7 linked regions of the Macaca fascicularis genome follow. The protein of the gene in region 5 interacts with the protein of the main gene of each other region in a pairwise test. Links are inferred from orthologs where the notes say so. Each region holds a gene or a part of one and is shown on either strand. Other genes may lie near its edges.

Evidence for each region.
Region 1: the proteins of AGTRAP (region 5) and FATE1 interact in binary tests that used the Homo sapiens proteins (3 or more experiments, as listed by UniProt). The two-hybrid records come from large-scale screens. The link is inferred for Macaca fascicularis from reciprocal best matches to the Homo sapiens genes AGTRAP and FATE1.
Region 2: the proteins of AGTRAP (region 5) and PDHX interact in binary tests that used the Homo sapiens proteins (3 or more experiments, as listed by UniProt). The two-hybrid records come from large-scale screens. The link is inferred for Macaca fascicularis from reciprocal best matches to the Homo sapiens genes AGTRAP and PDHX.
Region 3: the proteins of AGTRAP (region 5) and SYT16 interact in binary tests that used the Homo sapiens proteins (3 or more experiments, as listed by UniProt). The link is inferred for Macaca fascicularis from reciprocal best matches to the Homo sapiens genes AGTRAP and SYT16.
Region 4: the proteins of AGTRAP (region 5) and BPIFA2 interact in binary tests that used the Homo sapiens proteins (3 or more experiments, as listed by UniProt). The two-hybrid records come from large-scale screens. The link is inferred for Macaca fascicularis from reciprocal best matches to the Homo sapiens genes AGTRAP and BPIFA2.
Region 6: the proteins of AGTRAP (region 5) and NDRG4 interact in binary tests that used the Homo sapiens proteins (3 or more experiments, as listed by UniProt). The two-hybrid records come from large-scale screens. The link is inferred for Macaca fascicularis from reciprocal best matches to the Homo sapiens genes AGTRAP and NDRG4.
Region 7: the proteins of AGTRAP (region 5) and MCEE interact in binary tests that used the Homo sapiens proteins (3 or more experiments, as listed by UniProt). The two-hybrid records come from large-scale screens. The link is inferred for Macaca fascicularis from reciprocal best matches to the Homo sapiens genes AGTRAP and MCEE.

The regions. Positions count from the first base shown.
Region 1 is NC_088395.1:157,779,011-157,782,951, forward strand, and holds the start of FATE1 (fetal and adult testis-expressed transcript protein), read left to right. Parts: upstream 1-1,141; 5' UTR 1,142-2,111; coding exon 2,112-2,217; intron 2,218-3,259; coding exon 3,260-3,387; intron 3,388-3,941. UniProt on the Homo sapiens protein: Involved in the regulation of endoplasmic reticulum (ER)-mitochondria coupling. Negatively regulates the ER-mitochondria distance and Ca(2+) transfer from ER to mitochondria possibly implicating it in the regulation of apoptosis.
Region 2 is NC_088388.1:30,655,220-30,659,434, forward strand, and holds the start of PDHX (pyruvate dehydrogenase protein X component, mitochondrial), read right to left. Parts: upstream 2,801-4,215; 5' UTR 2,763-2,800; coding exon 2,603-2,762; intron 1-2,602. Other genes in the region: APIP (methylthioribulose-1-phosphate dehydratase), read left to right, coding at 3,166-3,178.
Region 3 is NC_088381.1:129,916,454-129,919,953, reverse strand, and holds part of SYT16 (synaptotagmin-16), read right to left. Parts: intron 2,043-3,500; coding exon 1,602-2,042; intron 1-1,601. UniProt on the Homo sapiens protein: May be involved in the trafficking and exocytosis of secretory vesicles in non-neuronal tissues. Is Ca(2+)-independent.
Region 4 is NC_088384.1:89,228,868-89,231,745, reverse strand, and holds the end of BPIFA2 (BPI fold-containing family A member 2), read right to left. Parts: intron 2,307-2,878; coding exon 2,243-2,306; intron 1,388-2,242; coding exon 1,347-1,387; 3' UTR 1,310-1,346; intron 690-1,309; 3' UTR 501-689; downstream 1-500. UniProt on the Homo sapiens protein: Has strong antibacterial activity against P.aeruginosa.
Region 5 is NC_088375.1:223,059,655-223,063,032, forward strand, and holds the end of AGTRAP (type-1 angiotensin II receptor-associated protein), read right to left. Parts: intron 2,846-3,378; coding exon 2,650-2,845; intron 1,194-2,649; coding exon 1,078-1,193; 3' UTR 501-1,077; downstream 1-500. UniProt on the Homo sapiens protein: Appears to be a negative regulator of type-1 angiotensin II receptor-mediated signaling by regulating receptor internalization as well as mechanism of receptor desensitization such as phosphorylation.
Region 6 is NC_088394.1:54,611,532-54,615,031, reverse strand, and holds part of NDRG4 (protein NDRG4), read right to left. Parts: intron 2,889-3,500; coding exon 2,832-2,888; intron 2,749-2,831; coding exon 2,697-2,748; intron 1,749-2,696; coding exon 1,701-1,748; intron 1,558-1,700; coding exon 1,522-1,557; intron 1,411-1,521; coding exon 1,359-1,410; intron 107-1,358; coding exon 68-106; intron 1-67. UniProt on the Homo sapiens protein: Contributes to the maintenance of intracerebral BDNF levels within the normal range, which is necessary for the preservation of spatial learning and the resistance to neuronal cell death caused by ischemic stress.
Region 7 is NC_088387.1:50,824,864-50,828,363, reverse strand, and holds part of MCEE (methylmalonyl-CoA epimerase, mitochondrial), read right to left. Parts: intron 921-3,500; coding exon 583-920; intron 1-582. UniProt on the Homo sapiens protein: Methylmalonyl-CoA epimerase involved in propionyl-CoA metabolism.

The sequences.
Region 1 (3,941 bases), on a different chromosome or scaffold from region 5:
CAAGCCAGTGCCTACACTACTGTAGCTTTGCTGACTTCTGAGTGCTCCTCACAATCCAGCCACCCTGTAGGGAGGCTTGTCCATGGTGGAGACTGACACCAAAAGAAGGGAGAAACTTGCTCGAGGTAAAATCTTGAGGTCATAGTGAGATAAGATTGTCAGATAGAATACAGGATATGCAGCTAAATTTCAATGTTAGATCAACCCATGAATCCTTTTTTTAGTGTAAATATGTCCCAAAGGTTAGTGTACAAGAGAGAATACTTACACTACAAATGTAGTATAAGTACAGATGTGTTGTTTATCTGAAATTTAAATGTACTTCGTATCTGTATTTTCATTTGCTCAATCTGGCAACCTTGGCTGGGCTTCCCAGGCTCCTGAATCCCACTAAGCTGAGCACACTCAGTAGTTTCTCTGCTCCCAAGGTGGCCCTCCAGAAAGCTCAAATTTCATCGCAGCTGCTCCACTAGATCTGGGAAGGGCTTCTTTGGGGCCCCCAGGAATGCAGGCAGGGCCTATATCAGCTCTGCTTCCCAAGAGCTCGGCCCCAGCGCTGGACAGGTGAGGTGGGGGCAGGGGACAGGCAGCCTCAGACCATGCTGCCCTATCTCAGCTAGTTCTGACCCCTTCCTTTGCACTCCCTCTCCTTCCTTCCTTCCTTCCTTCCTTCCTTCCTTCCTTCCTTCCTTCCTTCCTTCCTTCCTTCCTTCCTCTTTTCCTCCTTCCTTCTTTCCTTCCTTCCTTCCTCCCTTCCTCTTTTCCTTCCTTCCTTCCTTCCTTCCTTCCTTCCTTCCTTCCTTCCTTCCTTCCTTCCTCCCTTCCTCTTTTCCTCCTTCCTTCCTCCTCTTTATCCCACCTGACCCAAGGGCTCTGGGGGAAGAAGAGGCTATTTCTAAAAGGAACGTTTTATAAACCTGTCCTGATTCCTTTCACAAATAGCCTCCTATTCCCCCAGGGGCTCTGGGGTTGTTTCCTAGAATGAAGGGTTCACCACAGGTCGTGTAGCAATCAGTGTTTTCCAGAGAAACATAACTGATAGGATGTATATATGTATGTATGTATATATGTATATATCTGCATATGCACAAGTATATATACATTTATTTTAATAAATTGACTTATGCAATTGTGGGGCTGACAAGTCTGAAATGTGCAGGGCAGCCTGGCAGGCTGGCAACTCAAAGAAGAGTTGACACTGCAGTCCTGGGGTAGAATTACCTCTACTTTGGGAAACCTCAGTCTTTGCTCTTCAGGCCTCTCAGTTGATTGTGTGAGACCAACCCACATCATCGAGGATGTGTCTCTACTTTACTTCAAGTCCACTGGTTGTAGATGCCAACCACAGCTACAAAATGCCTCCACAGCAACACCTAGACTAGTGTTTGAAGGAGTCACTGGGGACTAGAACCTGGCCAGGTGACACATAAACCTGACCATCACAGTGGTCTAATCAGTAGGGAAACTGAGGGAGAATTGGGACTTAGAAGGTGCAAGGCCTGAGGCCCCTGGGAGTTCTAGTGGCTGCAGTCAGGTCCCACCTCTCTTACCCTTCTCTCCCTTTGTTCTCATGGCTCCTGCCTAGTCTGACCTACTTCAGAAAAAGGCTACCTCCCATGTCTGGGGACTCTGGATGGGGGAGGTAGGATATGCTCTCCAGAGAATCTCTTCTGAAGGTGTGGTATGGCCTGGATTGCTAGGACCTAACTCTGCTGTAGCCACTGCCTGGCTCTTGGACCCTGTGCCAATCCCTGTTTCTTCATAGAAATGATGGAGGGTAGACCCTACCCTTCCCCCCATGGGCTAAATATGGAGATTCATGAGCCAGAGCAGTTCTCACAGTCAAAGGCATGGAATTGTATCTCTTCTCCTAAGTTGCTTACAGAGTAGCAAGGAGAAGGCCACGGACCTAGCCAACAAGATACAATAGAAACAGAAAGTGCTGAGTCCAAGGCCTCAGCCTAGAGAGGGAGTCTTGCTCCACCCCCAGGTCTGACTATATCTTCCTTGAGCTCCTGTTCCAGGAAGAGGTGATTTTCTGAGTGTGACTCCTCTGTTCCTGGCACCCTGTACATCCTTAGCCATAGCTTACAAGTGAACAGCTGGTTGTGATGGCAGGAGGCCCTCCCAACACCAAGGCAGAGATGGAAATGTCCCTGACAGAAGAATTGAATCATGGACGCCAAGGGCAAAACCAAGAGCACCTGGTGATAGCGGGTGAGGATCCCCTAAAATACCCCTAGGCTACAGCCAACTGTGTAGATACATGTCTGTACCTGTGCATGTGTGTGTTGGGAAAGGTGCATGTGTGCATGGAAGTGTTTGCACATCTGTGTGTTGGGCGGGCTTTGAGGATTTGTGGGTTGATGGTAAGGGATCTAGGAGAAAAGGGATAGATGATGTGAGCATTTTGCCCTGGGAGGGAGGAGGATGGGAACAACATGTGTGGTCCCTCTGTCTTCCCCTTGTCCAAGCCACCACAGTGTCTGTTGCAAAATACTCAGAGGGCTCAAATTATGAGACCAGAGATCAATTCTCTCTCCCAACCCTCGAATTCATTTTCCTGCCATTTGGAGGAAAATCCAGACTCCATGATCTATAAGATTGTATCAGCCTCCTCAAAACATTTCATACTATGATATAGACAGAAAATACCATTTCTATAGCACACAAAGGGATCCAGATCACATTGCATTTATGTTTGTTCTTACAATGCTCCAAGCCTGCTTCTTCCCCAAAGACCTTGCATTTGCTGTTTCCTCTGTCTGGAATGCTCTTTCCCTCAATTTCCCAGGGCTGGGTCCTTTATTTTTTTCAGGTCCCTGCCTCAATTGTTGTCTCCTACTTTTCTAGAAGGAGCCCTTTCCTTCCACTATGTTACCCTGTTTTGATCATTTATGGAGCCTGCATCTCTCTGTCTGCATTTGCAAGGATAGACCTTCTGTTTTACACCTGTCATTCACTCTTATACACAAAACAGATGGTCAGTTCCTTGATAGCTGGAATCTTGTTCTTGGTCATTGCTCTCTAGATTACTGGAGAGTAACCTAGTCTCGAGCTGAGCCCTCAGGATTCTTGTTTAACTTTTGAACAGATGAACAAACTGAGACCTGGGATCAGCTGGTGGACAGTGGTTAATGGGTGCTGAGTGATTCCCAAGAAAGCTGGGGACTCTGTCTTCTTTTTGGTGTGTTTTGTGCCCAAGAAGCCCTGGTACAACTTCTATGGGTGCTCCTGGGGTCTCTGTTCTTCTCTCTAGAAATGATGGAGCATGGATCTCGGTCCCTGGGTGCCTCCCAGAAGAGGCAGAAGTTGGAACAAAAAGCTGCTGGCTCTGCTTCAGCGAAACGAGTTTGGAATATGACTGCCACCCGATCCAAGAAAATGGTACTGCATGGGGTCCTCAGCACATGTTGGCCAGGTTGGGGTTGGGAGTACTGGTTGTAGGGGCTGTAGCCTGACCAGGTCAGGCAGGGCTAGACATTGACTTGTGAGGAGGAGGAAGCTCCTGTATTCCAAGCTGGCAAATGAGGACAGAAAGGTCAGGGTCATCCTTTCCTATGCTTGGGATGCAACCTTGGGAGTTCAGAATGCCTGAAACAAATATTGCATGGGGAGTACATAAATATTTCACTCTGTAAATCCATTGTGTGAAATAACGCTTCCTGTATTTAAAATTGTGTGTGTGGTGCGTGTGTGTGTATACACACAATAACTCAGGTGAGGCTCCTACGCTTTCTGGCTGTTAAGAAATCCAGTCAAGTCGTCTGGCATGGTGGCTCATGCCTGTAATCTGAGCACTCTGGCAGGAAGAGGTGGACGGATCACTTGAGGCCAGGAGTTGGAGAACAGTCTGGCCAGCATGGTGAAACCTTGTCTCTACTAAAAATACAAAAATTAGCTGGGCATGGTGGCACATGCCTGTAATCACAGCTACTCAG
Region 2 (4,215 bases), on a different chromosome or scaffold from region 5:
TTTTTAAATCCTGGATATTTGTGTGAAAGAGGAAACAGTTCAATAAACGTACTTAATGTACACAGTTTACAGTAATCCAAACAGTTGCTTAGTTTTATGAAACTACAGTTTCTACCAAGCTCAGAGAAAAAATACCATCGTAAATTCGCACTTTGTAAAACAAATAGTCCAAGGATTGCCACGTGTTTTCGGCATGGCAAAACAAAAATCTGTATGTAGGTGAAAGTCAGAAGCGGATAAATTTTGGCTCGGTATTAGAAAAAAAGTCCAAAGTTTCTAAATACTTAGTATTTCCAAATACTTTCCACAGCTTCACATGCAGAATGTCATGCCTCAAAAGGTTCACGTCCTAATACCCAGAAGCTATGAATATGCTGTTACATGGCAAGAGGGAATTAAGGTTAAAGATGGAATTAGGTTTCTACTCAACCTTGAGATGGGGAAAATATTCTGGATCATCCAGATGAGCCCAATGTAATCACAAGGGTCCTTGTAAGTAGCAGAAGGCAGGGGGGGAGTATTAAAAGTGATGTAATGTGATAAAGACTGAACCAGCCATTGCTGACTTCGAAGCCCATGAATCAAAGAATCTTAGAAATCTCTAGAATCTGGAAAACGTAAGGGAATGGGGTCTCGAGCCTCCAGAAAAGAATGCAGCTCCTACCAATAGCTTGATTTTAGCCTAGAAGATCCATTTTGGACTTCAGACCTCCAGAACTATGAGACGTGAATTTGTGTTGTTTTAAGCCACTAATTGGTGGTAATTTGTTGCAGCAGCACTAGAAAACTAATTTGGCTTTCTGTGAGATGCAGTGCCTTCTTCCTGACAGATGGTATTCAAACTGGGTTAGACAAGTTGTTCATGGTATATGTCTAGGGGATGGGCAATAGGTAAAAAACATCATGAGGATGCAGGTAAGGATTGCTTGCCTAAGTGAGTTCCTAAAGGCATTAAACTGGGCCTATGTATACTTTTTTTTTTTTTTTTTCTGAGACAGGGTCTCACTCTGTCACCCAGGCTGAAGTGCAATGGTAGGATCATAGCTCACTGAAACATCTAACTCCCGGGTTCAAGGGATCCTCTTGCCTCAGCCCCTGGAGTAGCTGGGATGCCAGCACGCCTGGCTAATTTTTTTTTTCAAGTAGAGGCAGGGGTCTCACTTTGTTGCCCGGGCTGGTCACCAACTCCTGGGCTCAAGCAATCTTCCAGTCTCGCCTCCCAAAGTGCTGGGATTACAGTCATGAGCCACCACGTGCACATTTTTGTGTGTAACCATTTATGGTACCTTCTCTGTATAGAGAGTCTGCAGCATTTTCAAAGATTCTCAAAAGGATCTGCTTGATAGACAAGATTAAGAACACTCTTCCCAGATTATATCTAATACTAAACTTTTAATATTCCATGATTTTCTAAGGCAGTGAGTCTCAAAGCACATTCCATTAAATGTCAAAATAAAACATCAGAACGCATCCAACATTTGTAAAATGCAGATTCCTGAGCCCCACACTAGATCAGACCAAATCTCTAGGAGCTGTAAAAAAATTTAATTTCAACAAACTTGAAGGAGGGAAGAGAGGGAATTCTGCACACACTGTTAAAGCACCTCTGCTCCAAGGAATATGTTATGAAACATTACACCAAAAAAACTGAAATAAATTGTTCCCATTACGGAATCTTTAGGAACCCCAATACACTCATCTTACTATATGGCTTTGTGTGATTTTTTTTTTTCCTGGGCCTCAGGTAGCTCAGAATACGAAGGCAATGTCTATTAGACCTATTTAAATTAAAATTCATTCTGTAGAGTGCCAGGAACGATGACTGGCAGGCAATACGTCAGATTAAAAAACGTCAGTCCTATTCTCCATCCCTGCTTCCCTCCAACCCTCTCCCCAAATAAGGAAAAATAATACCCAGCCTGCCATTTTGCATACTGTTAAATACTGCAAGAATTGTGTTAACCGTATCAATATCATTACTAAACGACAATTTTCTATAATAAACTTTTTGGTATGATTTATCTCCTAAATGTTCGCTCTTTCAAGCGAATATTTGCTTGAAACATTCTCCTGGACCTTTGTCTGTGATGCCGTAGGAATTTACAAATTTAAGTCTTCCACGAGTCATGGCGTGGGGTAAAACTCGACTGGCCTCAATGAAAACACCTCCCAACAGAGAGGCCTAGAGAATGAGTAAGAACTCCCAACAGTGGCTTTTCAATCTCGGCAACCTTGGGCAGCTTTTTCTCGTCCGAGACGTTTGACAACCCTAAAGAAACCTGAGCCTTGACTGGAAAGGGGGCTGAGGGAGGAGAGTTTAGGAACCCTCTCCGCGCCTCACAAATAACCCAAATTCCAAGGCAAAGTCACAAAGTCATACAAACCAGGAGGCCTAGGGTAGGGTCTAATTCTCCCAGCTGCCAAGAAAGCCCTCCACAGCATGCATTAGGCCGAGTCGGCGGACCCCACCCAGAGAAAGAGGGAAAGGAATAGGGAGGCCGCGCACCTCAACACCCAGACGCAGGTCCTCAATCAAGACTGCCCCTGTCCCAGGCCCATCACTCAGCTACACAGAGAAGCTGAGCGAGCCCCGGCCACTCACCCCGAAGCCACTGCGTGCTGTGAAACCATCTCCAATTAGCTCCGCGGCTTACAGACCACCCAAGAGCCCCCTTCACCAGTCCTATGCTTCGGCAGCCAGGGAAGCCCACAAGATAACGCAGTAGCCGCGGATCACAGCCTAGCCTCCAGGAGGCCGCCATCTTCACGGCCTTCTCACCGGCTGCCCGCAGCACAGCCTGATGTCCAGCATCAAGGCCCCGCCTCCCACATGGTTGGCCACACCCCCAGACGATCGAGGTGCCTTTAGGTCTCTCAGACTTGAAGCCCTCCTAGTCCCGCCTCCAACCACGTTGGCCACGCCTCCCGGGCAGTCAGGTGCGCTGCTGGATAGCCCAGCCGGAGGGGCCTTACCAGACCCCGCCCACCCTGTTCGCCCCGCCCCCGGGCTGCCCTCAGCGCCGCCTGATTGCATTTGCGGCCTTGCTGCCTCAACCTAGGCTGAGCGCCGCGAGTAAAGTGGTGCGGAGATTGGAGGCCGCGTGGGTCCCTGGTCTAGGCCATGTCTGGCTGTGACGCTCGGGAGGGAGACTGTTGTTCCCGGAGATGCGGCGCGCAGGTAGGGGCGGGGTCACCGGTACCGGTTATTCCCAGGAGTAGAGGCCCAGACGGAACCTGGCGGCGGGAGCTGGGCGCGGGGTCGCGGGCCGGGCGTTTGGCTGCGGGGCGGGGCTTCGGGCCGGGCAGTTTGCGACCCTGGAGCACCGCGGCCTTCGCGTTGGGAAGCAAGGCTGCGGCCCCAGGCGATCAGTGGTCCCGGGCGGGGCGCTCCGACGACGGGAGCTGGGCGCCAAACATTGGAAAGAAGCAAATAACGCAGAGAGAATAGCGTTTGGGTGACCTCAGCGGGTATTTATCAGGAAGACAGGCCAGAGAAGGAATCGTGAAGCTCCGAAGTGGAGCTGGGGCGAAGACCGCGCTCCCCGAGCTTCTTTTCTGCGCCCTGACCAGTTAGGCGTTTGGGGAGACTTTTGGCACTCGGGAGACATTTGCCGAACCGGAGCTGTGCCTCGGCTGCCAGCGCTTTGCCTTTGAACAGTTGCTCCTTGCCTATCTCCCTTTAGATGAATTGTGGGATGATCATGGGAACGATTCTTCCTTAAGCCGAAGTCAAAGGGAAATCCACCCTCACTCTGCATGTAGTTTTCGGTCATTTACACAAACCAACAGTTTTATGGAGCACCTTCTCCGCGCTCAGAGATGGCGGTACATAAGACAAATGGCCCAGGGTCTGGAGAACTAGACGAATAAGCAGTTTCAGCACAATATGATAAACCCCACCTAAGAGGCAGGGAAACCCCTCAAAATTAGCTCCCTTATTCCCCCTATCTTATTCCTCCCATGTATATCTTTCTTAGGGTTGAAAATCCTAATTAAAAAGTAGTAACTAGCAGGAGATTTCATTGCTAAGTATTTGTCAACCGCTGTCTTGTTTGAATAAGTGACTTCCCCAAATTAGCGAAGACTACTCTGAAAATAGAATGGTGGATAGGCAAGGTTGGATGGGAGAGAGAAGATCTTGGAGATAGGACAGATAATTGGAGATCGTTCCTAGGCAGGTGTGTATGGAGAAGTGTTCATGCCCTCAATCAGTAA
Region 3 (3,500 bases), on a different chromosome or scaffold from region 5:
CTATGCTCAACAAAATGAAAGATTTTCACCTGCAAAGTTCTTTTACACTAGCTCATTTTCCCCATTCAACTCTGTGCCCCCAGCACACAGCATAGGGCCTAGCAAGCAGAAATATGGGTGTGATCATCCCCATTCCCCAGCTCTATCATGCAGGATCCCTCCTGATCTCCTGTGCATTCTGTTCTCCATCACTTCAGATGTGCTTTACGCAGATATTAAGAAAAAAGGGAGATCTGAGCAGAGATGAGACATCATCTGGCTTATACTTTAAAAGGCTCATTCTGGCTCCCACGTCCAGAAGAGTCTGTAGAGGCAAAAGCAGAAGTGGAAAGACCACCACTGAGCAGCTATTTCAGTAATCCAGCAGAGAGCCAGGTTCTGGTTGTACTTGAAGATAGAGCCCATAGGATTTCAGGTGGAAAACAGAAAAGTCACAGATGATTTCTGAGATTTTTGAACCCAGCAATTGGAAGAATGAAACTGCCTTTAAGTAACATGGGGAAGACTGCAGGTGGAATAGATTTAGGGAGGCAAAAATCAGGATTTCAAGCCTGAAGATGTTAATTTTGAGACATCATTGGACATTTAAGTAGATGAACCTGCCACCACTACAGTCCAGCCTTTCTGTCTCCTTTGTTCTTCTTCAGATATGACAAGTTTCCTCCCTCCCCCGGCCACCCCACATCCTGACTGCTTGCTTATGCTGTTCTCTCTGTCTGGAACTCTCATCCTCCTCACGTCACCAGCCTCTCTCTCTCGATGCTGTGAGTTCTGGTGTTTCATCACCACCTCGGAGAAACTTTCTCTGATCCTCTAAACAAGAGCAGCCTATCACTCTCTCTCCTTGCCTACTTGGCCACCACTAGACTGCAAGCTCTCCAAGTGCAGAGGCATCGCCTGCTTAGTTCTTTCCTGCATCCACTTTGCCTGTACCATAATTGACAGTAAACATCTCTGAATGAATGACTGATTGACCCCAAAGCCTAGAGAGCTCCCTGATCTGTTAACATGGTTTTGTAAAAGGAGATGGGCATACCACATGACATATAACCCACAGCAGTAGTGAGCTGCCCATCCTGTAGACATGTAAATTATGACACCCTTCCTTGAAACTCTGGGGCAAGCAGGGAAATGGGGTATGAGGGAAGACTGTACTAATACAAATGAAAGGTTTTGGAGGCAGCTGAAGTTCTGGGCTGCTATCTCAGTCTGCCCCAGCATACCAGTGAAGAACCTTGTCCAGAAAGTCCCATCTCTGAGATTCATCATGATGCAGATTGGGGGTAGGAGGAGTAGGATCAGTTATCCACAAACCAGAAGGCCAAGCCACCTTCCCTGTTTTTCTCCATGCCCTCTACCACACTGCTACTATCTTGTCCTAAAATGGACAGGGCATTTATCCATCAGGTTATCAGGAAGACAGGCATGAAAGACCCATTGTACCATGAAGTGCAAATCATGGCTTACAAGGGTGAGGAGAGCCAAATGGAAAATTAAATTCAAGTCTTTGAATTCACAGACTGAATGTATTAAATCAAGGGCTAACAATCCCAGGTCTTCAAACACACCACGTCATTACCAGCACCATTGAACATACTCACACTTATATTACTTCTTGGCTCCAGAACCAGAGTCACTTTCATTTCCCCTTCTGGGTGCAGGTGGCTGAGATAGAATAGTTTCTCTCCCATCATTCTCTCTCGGGTCATCTTCCGGGCAGCGTACAGGCGGAAGCGGACAGCACAGGCAGCCACGTCTCTGGGCTCCAGCTTGGCGAAGGTGACCTTCTCCTTGAAGACGGGGTTGGGCCCTCTCTGTATGTTCGTCCTGCCCCTCTGTTTCTTACCAGGCAGCAGCACTACATGAACTTGCCAGGAGTTGACACCACTTCGGTCCTTATCTGGGAGGCCCTGTGCCCTCACAATGGTCACTGTGAGCTTCTGGCTGGAGGCTCTATATTCAAAGATGACATCTAGGTCACCACACTTTGAGATGGGCTCTGAGACTCCGGATGGCACCTGCAAATTGGTCCTGTCCTGTTCCTGTTGCAGGCAGAGGAAACAATTAGAAACGGAAATGATGAGACCCAATTACATTTTGGCCAGTTGGTGCTCCTTTGTGCTCCTTTAGAATCCCTCCTTTCTAACTGCCAGTGTATTCCCTCTATATCAGACAGGTCTATTTACTGGTCTGTCGCTGCATTAAACTGTGAATTCTTTGACGGCACAGTGCCTAGCATATGGCGCGCCTTCGTGAATGTTTTTGGAATGGATAACTAAAGCTTTTATATTTTGCAAAGTGTTTTCATATACACTGCCTCTCAAAAAGCACAATTGCCCAGGATCATTGAAACCAACTGAGATGCTAAATCTAAAATTAAGTCAACAGGCAATTGTCCATAGGAGACTTTTCCTTGTGTCCCTAAATACAGATGGTTGAGACTGAGCCTGTTCTCCACAGGCAAGAGTTTTCCACAGACAAGAATTTTGATGGGAGTCCCAGGAAGGTGATGCTTCAGTATATTTTCAATCTACGTGAGAGAAAAGGTTTAGGGCTGAGCTTCTCAAACTTTAATGTAGACCTAAATCATCTGAGGATTCTGACTCAGTAGGTCTGGAGTGGAGCTTGAGATTCTGCCATTTCTGGGACGTGTGCAAGGGATGTTGATGCTACTAGCCTCACCTCACACTTTGAGCAGCAAGGGTTTAGGAGGACACCTCCACAGCCCTTTAGTAAACAGCAACACTGAGCCTGGAGCCAGAATATCTAAATTGAAATCATAACTCTAGCACTGACTATCTTTTTTACCCTGGCCAAATAGACCAGCCTCTCTGTATTCAAGCTTAAAAACGCACATTAATGTGCCTGCTTGCTGGTGTGTTGTTGTGAGGTTTTCATTGATGTGAAAATACCTGGCTCAGGCCAGACTGCATCAATATCTATTCCCACCACTGAACTGGTGCTACCTATTCTCAAATACACATCTCTCTTTATGGAATGTCACCCTTGGACAGCAATTTACTTGCAGCCACTCAGATCTGATGACCTTACTGGGAAAACTGAGCTGAACTGCATTTATTATAATGAACCACCCCACTAACAAATTATAAATAATGTCAAAAATAATTCTGTTTTCCTCTGAAGGCATGATCCTTACCTGTAACTCAACTTTGAACTGATTCTTATTGCAAACCAGTTCTTATTTATGCAATTGAACACCAGACCTTGCTAATTTAAAGATCTCGTTTCAAATTATAATAAAATGCCTCAAAATATGCATCCATCAGTGAAACTTTCCCACATAGTCTGAGTGAAAGTTCATGGTTCTCTGGGTTCATATTTCCCTAGGAAGCCCAGGCCTACTATTTACTAGCTATATGACACTGGGCAAGTTACTTAATCCTTTCCATGTTCTATTTTCCTCAACTGTAAAATGAAGATGGTGCCTTCTGTGTAGGGATGTTGTAAAAGGTAGAGGACTTGACAGATAGTAGACATCT
Region 4 (2,878 bases), on a different chromosome or scaffold from region 5:
CCAGTGGGGCCCCTAGAGGGCAGCGGGGCCAACAGGGCAGGTGGAGATGGGGCCACAGGCCTCTGAGCCTGCATCACTCTGCCTTATACTCCTGGCTCCAGTCAGGCGGGGTGTCCCCTGATTCTCCGAGAATCCTCAGGGCCCCTGGAGAGGAATGGAGGAAAGCGCTGGGTGGGACTGCTCCCAGAATGTGACTTTCCAGTTCCCACTGCCTGTCTGGCACAGAGTAGGTGCTCACTACATACCTGTTGAATGCGTGAATGGATAGATCAGAGGTCTGCCATCGCCACAGACTGGCTGTGAGACTTGGGCTGGTTTGTTGCCTCTCTGTGTCTCCGTGGCCCCCTTTATAGAACCAGGAGATGGGGCTGGATATTCTCACTGAGCCTTCTAGCTCTGGATCCAGGTCTCTCCCACCCTAGTTGCAGTCCCCAACCTCCCTCCCCAATTCCCACCAACAAATCCCAAATGGAGGGAACACAATGAGCCACACAGAAGGGTGCAGAAATGAGCCTTTATTGCCAGGGACAGGAGAGTATGTGTAGAAACTGCTGTTCTGACTGTGAGCAGGAGGGGCATCTGGGAAGGTCCTTCTGGTGGGACTTAGGCTTTCACGCTGGTTAGGTGGTGGCAGCAGCTTCCCAGAAGGAGATGCTATAAGGGGGTGGCGCAAGCCACTGGGAACCAATCTGGAATGAGACCACAGGGGGTTAGGACATTTGCAGCTAGGCCGCCCTTATACCCAGCTGTCATCCACTGGGCACTTGATGGGACCCAAGTTGACCTGGCTCCAGTGTCCCAGCTCTTTCCCACAATACCCCATGTGGTTTAAGTCCTGGGAAGAAGAAACTGGGACCTGTGGTTTGGGGTCTTTCATTGGCACCTAGCACTGACTCATCTACATTCCCCTCACCCTCCTTCAGAACAATGGCAGATGTGGAAAGATTGATTGCAGGCCACCACTGGAGCCAGGTTCAGGGCCCAATATGTGATCAGAATCATGGATCCATTTGAGACCAAGGTTGGGGCTCAGTCTGTGACCAAGACTAAGGCTCAGTCAATAACTGGCATCAAAGCTCGGTCTGTGACTAGGATCCAGGCTCAGTCTAGGGCCAGAATCATAGTTCAGTGATTAAGGCTCAGTATTCAGAGTGTGACCAGAATCAGGCCCTAGCCTGGGACAGGGGCCAGTGCTCAGTCTATGACTGAGATGAAGGCACAGTCTTCTAACACAAAAAGAAGGGAAGCCATGCTTGGCTTTTCTTCACCATAGGCCCTGTGCATTGGGGCTTAGAGCCTGGCTCCTCACCAGCAGGCATCACAGTGGTCCTCGTCATTCATCCTCTTCAGATGTGGGTTTGCAGCTGGGTTTCATGCTGAAGATTATCTGAAACAAAATCAATAGCAGGTTTTAGTCTCTGCCTCTGGAAAATTGAATAGAGACCAGACTCCAAAAGATGCCGCTCTCCTGAAGGTCACCTGACAGCTGTGGGACCCCAGGGATGTCACTACACCTCTCTGAGCTTCAGTTTGTTCATTTGTAGAGTGGATACAATGACTGTACCCACCCCACAGGGTTGTTGCAAGGATCCAGTGAGATAGTGAGTACAGAGCACGAAGTGACTGCCTAAGGGACTGGACTTGCAGCTATTTCCTTTCTTCTTCTTTTTTTTAAAAAAAATTTTTTTTTTGAGATCAGGATCTCACTCTGTCGCCCAGACTGGAGTGCAGTGGCATGATGTCGGCTCACTGCAATGTTCGCCTCCCAGGCTCAAGCAATCCTCCCACCTCAGCCTCCTGAGTAGCTGGGACTACAGGTGCATGCCACACACCTGGCTAATTTTTGTATTTTTTTTGTAGAGATGGGATTTCACCGTGTCACCCAGGCTGGTCTCAAACTCCTGAACTCAAGTGATCTGCCCACCTCAGCCTCCCAAAGTGCTGGGATTACAGGTGTGAGCCACCGTTCCTGGCTGACTTGTGGCTATTTTCATAGAAGGGTCACCTCCAGGGTCTTGACACCTTTACTTACTCCATTTCTCCCCAGCAACCTCAGCCATGCCTGTAGACCCAAAAGCTAAAGAGAGTCCCCAAGTGCCTGTGGAGGGAAGCCACAGCTCCTAATTTGCTTAGGACAGTGGGTTCTTCTGCTTCTCCAGGGTCTCCTGACCAGAACTGCTTATGCGGTGGGCACAGAACTCCAGGCCTGCCTCAGAAGGTCCCCACTTCCCCATTGACTTACCGATGATCTGCTGAATGAATTGCACATCCAGGGAGTGGAGGAAGATGCGGATCAGTGGGCATATCTGACAGCCAGAGAGAGGAGGAAGAGGACGGTCAGGAGAAGGAGGAAGAACAGACCGTTCTCCTGGGCTAGAAACAAACTGCTTGCCACCCACAGAGGAGCTCATTTCTAGGGATCTTAGAACCTTTGAACTTTAGGATTTCATTTTGTTTTATTGGTTTTTTTTTTGAGGCAGGGTCTCACTGTCTTGCCCAGGCTGGAATGCAGTGGTACAATCTCTGCTCACCGCAACCTCCGCCTCCCAGATTCAAGTGATTCTCCTGCCTCAGTCTCCCAAGAGACTGGGACATGTGCCTGTAAACCCCAGGAACATGAACTGCTTTCTAACTACAGACAGAGCCACATGGATCATCACTTAGAATCCCACATCTGACCAGCGGCTCACCCCAGGGCCTCATGAGATTCTCAGCACAGAGACCTTATTCGTTCATTCATTCAACCCATATTCACAGAGCACCAACTCTGCACCAGGAACCTAGCTGGGCCCTGGTACCGAATGAGCGAAGTACAAACATCCCCTAAGCTGGTACCTAAACATGCATGACTGATCTTTGTGTTTTTAGTAGAGACAGG
Region 5 (3,378 bases):
TTCTGGATGTGTCAGCCCAAGTCAGTGGTGACCAGACACAGGGGCCACCAGGAAGAGGTCGCCCCTGCCTCCTAACCTAGCATTGTCACTGGCCCGAGGAACAAGTCCACTGCTAACAACTTCACCATCACTGAGGGAGCCCTCCTCACGCCAGGCACCTTACACCTGGAGCGGGCACCAACCCTTTCTAGAAGACACTGAAGGCATGCAGCTAGTAAGTGGCGGAGCAGGATTCAAAACAGTGCCTGCGTCATCTGGTTCAGAGAAACGGATGCCCACACGCCACACCCACCAGTTGCTCTCTCTAGGCCTCTGCTAGGCCAGAGTCAGGCACAAGCCCAGCTCAGCCAACACGCATGTCCGTTTCCTCCCGCCATGACAGATTGGGGCAGCCTAGTGCAGGCTCCACCTGGGAATTGGCAGGAGAAATCTTCCCAGGAACAAGGCCAGGCCCCAGCCCAGCCAGGAGACTGAAAGTGGCTCAAAACACAGCCCATCTATAGAATTCCCCAAACTTTAATGCTGTGGCTCCGAAAAGGGAGGCTGGAGGCTGTGATGGGTCACAGTGTTGCTGACGCCTCTGACCTCCAGCCCTGCATCCCTAGCCACCACGTGACCAGGCAGTGAGAAGCACGGGGCCTCACTCCCATGCCAGACGGCTCCTGGAGCTGAGCAGGACCTGAAGCTCTCAGGGCTTCCACTGAAGCCTGACAAACTCAGGGGAGGCCTCAGGGGGCATCAGTGGTCCTTAAAGGCCTGAGCCTGCCACACTCAGGCGGGACTCAGCTGGGGGCCTCTGTGGTGCGGTAGGAGGTGAAGAGAGACCATGGTTCCAGCCTGGGAACCAGTGGGTGCCCTGAAGGGAGGGGAGGCCTCAGGGAGTTTGGGACAGGAGTGTGCAAGGCACTGGGTGGCCCATGGGGGCTCCTGGCCTCTCAGGGCACTTGGTTCAGGCAATCCCTGAGCTGGGGACACAGTCCATCTTAGGTCCAAGAGATGGAGGCCAGGAGCATCCCTAGAACGACCTCCCAGGCACAAGGAAGGCCCGGGGCGGGGCCGGGCACAGTGTGGCTGGCTTCAGTACCCTCGGGCATCTTGACCCCTGCCCTCTGGGACTGCAAAGGGATCTGCGGGTGCCTCTGCTGAGTCAATCGTCTGGTAGGCACCACGGTCCTGAGAAGGTCCAAGGAAACCTGGGTGGCAGGGGACATGGCGGGAAAGAAAAATGAAGGGTGAGAACTCGGAATGTTTGGCTAAGTCCAACCCAAGACCCACCCCCGCCACCCTTGGGCTGGGCATCCTGACATCATGCACAGAGACAGAGGCAGCAGCCCCAGGCACTCAACCTTTAGCATGTATTATTCATTCAATCCTGCCGTATCCCTATGCAGCGGGTATTTTTATTGTCCCCACTTTACAGATGGGGAAACTGTGGGTCAAAGAGATGAACTGACTCGCCCAAGATCACATAGCTCGAAGCTGATGATGCTGGGATCCACGCCTAGGCAGCCGATCCAAAGCCAGGCTCCTAGCCCCTGTGCCATGGGCTTCCCCAGGCAGTGAGTGCTCAGGAACCTGGGCAGAGGGATGCCAGCCCCGGGCCCATGCAGTCCTCTCCAGCTCCCCTCCCAGGTACAAGGACACCACATTACCATATCCAGATGGCCTCAGAGACTGGGGCTGGGTCCAAGGCAGGGCTGTAGGGCTCCGAGTACCCCAATGCCTCACTCCCATCCCCTACTCTGTACATTCATCCTGAGATCCTGAACAAGTCCTAAGGGATATGGGCCTCAGTTTCCTCATCTGTCTAATGGGAGAAATATTCTGGCGCCCCTCACCGGAGGCAGGCCCAGGCAGTGCTGAGGTCAGCCACTGTGGGCAGCCCCAGGCCATTCCTACCCTCGACCAGCTGGTGGCAGTCATAGGCCACCTAGGGCATCTCTTCTCAGGAGTGAAAGGCAGAAGGCCACACCCCACCACCTCCCTCCACTCCTCTCAAAGAGAAAATGGGAGAGAGAGAGGTGTCAGAGAGCAGGCAAATGGCTCGGCCACCAGGAGAAGGGGTTCAGGAGTTCAGAGAGGGCGTGGGAGAGGGCAGGTGTAAGGCTGGGCGAGTGGGGAGGGGCCAGTGGGCAGGGAAAGTACTCCCTGTTCAGGGCTGTCCTCGTTGAGGCTCCCACAGCCTACACTGGTGCGGGCTCTCCCTTGGCCACCTAGCACAGTCTCTGCCTCAAGAGAGGGAAGACCCCACATGGCAGGAAATGGGGTTCCAGTGATGGGCCCCCGTGGGAACAGAAAGGAGACCTGTAGGTGCCTGTGGCCCTCAGGATGGAGACAGCCCAGGGCTGCCCCTGGGAACTAAATGATACCCCAAGCTGTGCCTGTGCTCTGGGCTGAGAGAAGGGCCCAGCCTCAGCTTCACAGCAGGAGAAGGTCGCGGCAGACCAGGACAGCCAGAGGACCCCTGGGCTCCTGCAGCAGACACTAGGAGCTTGGACCTGTCCAGCCTGGTACAGAGCGCCCATGCCACGCTCTCCCTGCACCTTGAGCCCTGGCCCCATGGGGCAAGGCGGGCTTACTGAGGGAGAGGCTGGGGGCCAGGCAAGGGAGAGACAAGAGTGGGGAGCTGGCTGGAGGTAGTGGCCTCACCAGTGTGGACCAGGAGCTCACCCCCGCGCTCCCGGTACATGTGGTAGACGAAGCAGCACGAGAGCGGCTTGAGCAGCAAGCTGAGGATGGCCATGCCCGCGCCAAAGCGGCCTGTGTCCGTGAGGCTGGCCCGTGGGTAGAAGATGCTGATGTGCACGATGTCCAGGAAGATGGTGGCCAGCAAGCCACCCAGAAACTGCAAGACACACCACACTGATGAGCACAGCACCCCCGCCGCGCCCCGTGGCTCCCCCACCATATACCAGATGGGAAGCTGTTTCGTGCCCTACTATGTCCTTGAGTTTTGCTGGAAAACAGATCAAGCAAGCAGGCAGGACCCCGTTGGGGAGCCGCTGGCTGGGACTGCAGTCTGGGGGCAGGGACGCCGGGGGTCCAGGTCTCGGTTCCACCAGAGCCTCCCTCCCCACCCATTTCCCATCACCTCCAAGGCCATGACGGGCACAAGACTTGGTTCTAGAACCGCCACAGAGTAAGGTTCCTTGGAGTTCACCCAGTCTGTCTCCAACACAAAGAAAATCCTTTTTCAGTCATCCTGAGGCCCTGGCCTCGGCTTGAAGAGCCCGTGCGGGGAGCGCTCACTGCCCCACGGGGCTGGGTGGGTGCTGAGAAGCTCCCCCTGTGGGAGGTTTTGGTGGGGCAGGGTCACCTCTACTTCCTAAAGTGTGGAGTGCCCCCTTGGCCGGGTCTCCCAGCCACAGCCCCTCCCCT
Region 6 (3,500 bases), on a different chromosome or scaffold from region 5:
GCTGCAGCAGGAGCGGGGGAGGGGGAGGCTAGGTGTCCATGCATCAGGGGAAGGGCTGTGGGGCTACCTGCTCCTCCACTCAGCCTTCGGTCCTTCAAGTACGCAACTAAGAGAGAAGACAGAGCCAGACAGGGGGCGGGGTGGGGGAGACACAACACAGTGAACAGCGTGGTCCACTGAGGCCAGAGCATTGAGATGAGCCGGAGAGATGGGACAAAGGACAGGCACAGAGAGGCTGGGGGCAGGGTCAGAGGCTCTGGAAGCCCACCCAGCAGTGGTCCCCAGAAGGATCTCTGACCCAAGGAAGCCCTGACAGCCGGTGGGGTGCTTATCCCCTCACCATTCTGCTGGGCCTCAGTCTCCTGCGTACAGAACTGGGGAGGCCTGCCCCTCTGTGCCTCTCCCAGCTCGGGGCTGCCTGGTGGAGTTTCTCCCCAGGACCCTGAGAACGCATCTCAGCGCCTGACAAGCTTCCTCCATTCACCTCACAAATGCTTGCTGTGCCCTGATCCCAGCCTCTGCGCTCCTGCAGAGCCCCCCTGCGGGCCCTAGGGCTCTGCCCTGCTCCAGAGAGCACTGTATTCCTGGGTGTCCTCCCCAGCCTTCCCACAGGCCGCCCCCTGTTTGCCCTGGAGATACCAGCTCCAGAGGCTAAAGTCTGGAGGGCAATAAAAAACAAACTGAGAAGAGGAAGTTTGCCACCTGGTAGTGGGGAGCTGGAAACAGGTATGTCTTAGAGGGAAGGGGAAGTTGAGGAGACACCCAAGGGGTGTGTGTGTCTGTGTATGTGTACCTGGTTCTACCCCAGACCCAGATTTTCAGATCTGCCAACTCAGGTTCAGCTGCTTTCAGCTCTCTGAATGCCCAGGCCGCCCCAATTGCCTTCCCTGGCCCCAGGCTCCAAGCCCACTCCTATGACGCCCTGGGTGCAGCCACCAGTTGTTTCAAAAGGCCTTCTCAGGTGCCGTAGGCCCAACTCTGACCCCAAGCCCTGGGGCAGATGAGGGGAGTGTGCCTCACCCCCAGACAGGCTTCCCTGGCAGGACGTGGCCCTTGGACCTGGACCCTCAGCACAGAGAGAAGGGTCCCTTCCCCCAGTATGCCCATCACTGCCATCAGAACAGTGTGCCAAGTCCTCCCTAAGGGCAAAGGGGAGCTGGGCACAGCCTGGGATGTGCAACTTGCAACTCAGGTGGCATCTGTGGGGCCCAGCATCCGGGGCCCAGGTCACACAAAACTATGCCTGTGGGCTCCCCAGTACCCCCTGACACCACGTGCCAGCCCTGCAAACAGGACCCCCCACCCCAGCACTGACTGCCCACTGGTCTCTAGGTGTGGTGGGGTGGAAATGTACTCACTGTAGCCCATGCCTTGCAGGAAGTATTTGAAGGCTTCAGTCAGCTTCCCTGGCTGCGGAGGGCAGGACAAGCACATGCTTTCATTGGCTGCCTAGGATTAGCAGGGAGGGTAGAGGCTTCCCCCACCCCATAGATGGAAGGGCAGGAGGGCCAAAAGTCTCACCTGTGTGACCTGGGGCAGCCCTCCGGAGTCTGCCATCTGCAAGGGAGAGAGTGGGGTGACTTGAGCAGGGCCCTCACTCCAGGACAAGCTCCCACCTGGCTGGGACCCCAGGCAAGCCCCTCCCTGAGGTTGGGCCCATGCTAGGGAAGCTGGCCTAGGGCTGGGGAAGAAAGCCTCACCTTCAGGAAGGTCGTGATGGTCGGGTCCAGTTTGGAGTTGCACTCCACCTGGGGACAAGGAGCCAGCTTCAGCAACAGCCCCGGCCCCTCCCCACCCCTGTGGCTAAGGCAGGTTTGATGCCCCAAGCTGGGGAGGAGAGGGGGTGCAGGGAGGCAGAGGGAGACCCAGCACCTGTGACAGGCTGCTTCTCCCAGGGCTCCCCACGTTCTTGGAGACCAGTTTAGCAGCGCCCCTGAAGGTCCTGGGACCCTTGGAGCCCACTCACAACTGCTAGGAGTGGGAGTCAGGCAAAGGCTGGGCTGCCGTGGTGGGACTGGCCTGGGAAGAAGTCCTGGGGCCCTCAGCAGTGAGGTGAGGGGTGCCGAGGGTCTGAAAGAGACCGGGTGCAGAGGGCTGGCACAGCCCACCACCGCACTCTTCCAGGACCTCCCGGTGGGCATGGGAAAGCCTGGTATTTCCACGGCGCACGGGGCTGCTCGGGCACTTCCGGACCCTGCAGCTTCCCAGCAGCTCTGTGCTGATGGGGCCTCACAGCCCCAGGCCACCTGCTCCCAGAGTTCCAGCAGGAGGGGTGACACGTGGTCCCCAAACGTAACAGGTGCAGGTGATGGGGAAAGGGAGACTGTGCTGCTGTATGCATTAATGATTTATAATGACTCAATCACATTTCAGAAAAAAGAGAGATCGTAGGCCCTGGGCCTGAGGTGGGTAGGGACCAAGTTGGGGCTGTGCTGCTGGGGAGGGAAGAGGGGACCTTCTGATGGCCCGGCCCTGGCCCCAGCCCTCCCCATTTCCAGGCCTCCCCCGCCAGAAGGATGGGGGCTATGCCAGATGTGAGGCTTGGCAAGACTGGGGAAGTGGACGAGAAGCCCACCATCCACTGCCAGCCCTGGAGGCTCCCCTGGGCTGGGTCAAGAATTGCCCCTGCTGGACAGAGGCCATGAGCCCCTCACCCCTACCTCACACCCCCAGTGAGCCCACAGCCCCTCACTCACCACCCCGTCCTCAGCAGGTGCATTATCCCCGACCACCAGCATCACGGGGCAGCTGCAGATACAGAGGAAAAGGGCTGTCTGGCTGGGTCACGGGGGCAAAGGCTGGGGCAGGCCAGAGGGCCAGGAGGCACTCACCGGAGCGTCTTGGCATTGAGCACTGTTCCAGGCCGGTTAATGTCCAGGTCTCTGCGGCTGTGGGGGAGGGGAAGGGGAGGGGCAGAGGTGGGCACCCCAGGACAGGATGAGGGGCATCCCAAGCCCAACACTGCCAACTGGTAAAGCAGGGAGGCATGGACCTGCTCTGCATAAATGAACTGGAGGCCCCCTATGCACGGCTTTTTGGACTCCCCAGCACATACCAGGTGGGCTCTCAAATTTTGCTATCCCCCTCAGAGCCAGGGGTACCGCCACCTGTGCTGTGGGAGGTTCTGCTACTGGTCTGTCTCCTGGACCATATGGGATGGCAGGCCCTGGGTCTCTTTATTCTCTATTGTTTTCCTAGCACCATGCACACAGCAGGTGCTTACTATTTGTAGAAGAATGAGAAGGAGGGCAGGTGAGTGAGGGGGCCTGGCCACCTCCCTGCAGGGCAGGGCAGCCCCTAAAGGGGGCTCCAAGGAGCATAGCTTGCAAACCACAGGCTCATCCGACCTCGTCCCCATTTTGCAGACGTCAATATCAAGGCTGGGTTACTGCAGTCAGGGATGTCACCAACACCCCCAACACTCCCACGCAGGAAGCCCCCAGGGGAGGAGGAAAAGTGGAAGAACCCAAGGCCTGGAGTCTGAAGACCTGTTCCCCTCT
Region 7 (3,500 bases), on a different chromosome or scaffold from region 5:
CATGAACATCTATAGAAATGTTCTCTAATGAGACTTTTCTTGTCTAACATTTCTTCACATTCCTTTAAAAATTGTTGGCAGATGCAATTCAGAAGATCTTAAAAATCAGTCAGTAATTGAAAAGTATTGACTTTGTAATAATGAAGTTATTAGAATTTTAAGGAGAGAAAAGAGTTATAAAGAATACTTAGCATGTACATTGAAAGCTTTACTTTATAAAGTCTTTTCATTTGCTTCTCCTAAGTGCCTTGTGATAGTGAAAACAGCTGTATTCCTGTTACATGGGAGGTCACACATGATCAGTTCTAAAGCAGATTCTATATTGTGGCTAACTTTGGTGGCACTTACAGTGGTCACTGAATCCAGACTTCAAAAAAATACATTAATATTATATGTTAGAATTTTCTAAAGGGAAAAGAAAGGTATGTAAGGATCCATCTTTGAGGAGGATGAATATTATCATTCTCCATAAAGAACCTTACAAAAGTTTCTAATGACAGTGACCATAATTAGTCTTAAAAAGTAAAAGACATATTTTAAAAGACAGATTTAAAATACCAGGCATTAAAATAATTAAAATACCTCGATGCAGATGTGATGCATTCCTCCAGCCTTGTTTTTCTGCAGAAAACCTGCAATTGGACTGTCACGTCCCAATGGATGAAGCAGTTCCATCTTGGTATTTCCCAGGTTGACAAAAACAACAGATACTCCATGTTCAGGAAGAGGGACCGCTTCACTTACCTGGGCCCCGAGAATATTCTTATAAAATGCTGCAGCCTTTTCCAAATCTGGCACTGCTATGGCTACATGATTGAGTCGACCCAGGTTCCACAAAGAACCTGCCACTTGATCCAAGGGCTGTGATGTGGAAGAAGCTCTTAATGTTGGAATGGGAGCTTGGAGTCTGGAAAAAAGCCCTAAAAAATTGAACAGCCATTGATATCGTTCTTTTGAGAATTAATACACTTCTAAATTGAATTTAAAAAACTAAACAAATAACACATGCAAAAATTCGTTATTTATATATCTATTCTTTTCAATTATTGAAATGAAACCAGGAGATAAATGGAAAAACTTACACCAGAATTACTCTGCTCTGCCCATTCAAATAACTGACTGGAATAAAAAAGCTAATTCTGAGCTGTAGTTAGATTTAAAACACAGAATAACATTTTTTCATAATGATTCATATTTACCGGTAACACTTAAAGAATAGTGGCATATTAAGAATTATTTGCTATTCTCTCTCTGCATTTCACAATGAAACAACATATTTAATAAGAACGAGCAATTTCTCTACCTGTACCCAATTTTTTGTCTTATATTTTGTAACAAGTCCATTAAAGGTATAAACATACATTAAAAGAATACATACAGTACTCTTTAATGCTCTGTTGCCCAGCCTGAAGTGCTGGAGTGCAACAGTGTGATCTCAGCTCACTGCAACCTCCACCTCCTGGGTTCAAGTGATTTGCCGGCCTCAGCCTCCCAAGAAGCTGGGATTACAGGTGCCCGCCACAATACCCAGCTAATGTCTGTGTGTGTGTGTGTGTGTGTGTGTGTGTGTGTGTTATATATTTTTTTGAGATGGAGTCTTGCTCTTTTGCCCAGGCTGGAGTGAAGTGGCGTGATCTGGGCTCACTGCAACCTCTGCCTCCTGGGTTCAAGAGATTCTCCTGCCTCAGCCTCCTGAGTAGCTGGAATTACAGGCGCCTACCACATGCCCAGCTAATTTTGTATTTTCAGTAGAGATGGGGTTTCGCCATGTTGGCGAGGCTGGTCTTGAACTCCTGACCTCAGGTGATCCACCTGCCTCGGCCTCCCAGAGTGACATGATTAGAGGTGTGAGCCACTGTGCCCACCCTAATTTTTGTATTTTTAGTAGAGACGGGTTTCACCATGTTGGTCAGGCTGGTCTCAAATTCCTGACCTCGGGTGATCCACCCACCTTGGTCTCCCAAAGTGCTGGGATTATAGGCGTGAGCCACCATTCCGGCCAGTTTTTAGCATTTTAAAAATTCACTATCACTGTGTCCTCATCAGATAGTTTCTTGATTTCCACAGACAACTCTGCATTCCATTCATTCAGCAAAGAGTCATTGTATGTCATTAACAACAAGAATGGCCTGAATTTACTGTGCACCTACTGTCTGGCACTGCATTTATTTTTTTACACCAACTGTCTAATATTCACAACAAACCTACAAGTTAGAAACTTAGTAAGTTTCATTGTTACCATGAAATCCAAGTGGATTACAACCCAGTACACATATACATAAATGTACAATTGAAACTAAATTGCAAAAAAAGAATACCTTCCACCTCAGCCTCCTGAGTAGCTGGAACCATAGGCAAGAGCTACCATGCCTGGCTAATTTTTGTATGTTTTGTAGAGATGGGGTTTCACCATGTTGCCCAGGCTGGTCTTGAACTCCTGGGCTCAAGCGATCCTCCCACCTTGGCCTCCCAAAGTGCTGGGACTACAGATGTGAGCCACCACACTAGGCCAGTGAAAACGTTTTGAAATAGATAAACGTGACAGTTGCACAAACCCAGTGAATGTAATAATTGCTGTTAAACTGTACTGTTTTTTCTTTTTTTGAGACGAAGTCTTGCTGTCTCGCCCAGGCTAGAGTGCATTGGTGTGATCTCAGTTCACGACAACCTCCACCTCCCGGGTTCAAGCGATTCTCCTGCCTCAGCCTCCTGAGTAACTGGGATTACAGGTGCGTGCCACAACACCCGGCTAATTTTTGTATTTTTAGTAGAGATGGGGTTTCCCCATCTTGGTCAGGCGGTCTCAAACTTCTGACCTCGTGATCCACCCACCTTGGCCTCCCAAAGTCCTGGGATTACAGGCATGAGCCACTGCGCCCGGCCTAAACTGTACATTTTTAAAGGGTTTTGTTATATAAATTTTACCTAAAAAAAAAAAAAATGGCCCAACAATAAAAATCCAAAGGTGAAATTGTGTAGACCAAGGAAACTGGGTAGAGAACAATGAATAAAGAGGTTAAAATGAGATAGAGCTTTATATTTAATAAAAATGTGCTCCTGAAAATTTGTTGTGAATTGAATTCTTATTATATTTTCTCTTGCTACAAGTAATTGTAGCAACTTTTTTCCAGCTTGAGGTCCCATGACTAATAGAAATGGTGTATCTTTAAGGTATACAATGTGATGTTTTAACATATGCATAAATTATGAAAATGATTACCAACACTGAAGCTAACTTTTTAAAGCTATTTTTATTTCAGGTTGCCCTCTAATTCGTAGGAATTCACAGCTCTTTAGTTTTAGGTTTCTCTGCCTCCCATTTCAGAATAGTGCAGCAGAACTGCATTATTTTGAATTCTGTAATGTTTAATTTGTGATTTTTCCAATAAAGGTTGCTTTGCATGAATATACTACAATGTAAAACCACATGCAAATAAATGCGTAAGATATTTAAAAATAGAAGTGTTAATAAAAAATGCGTGTAAAGATGAATACAGATT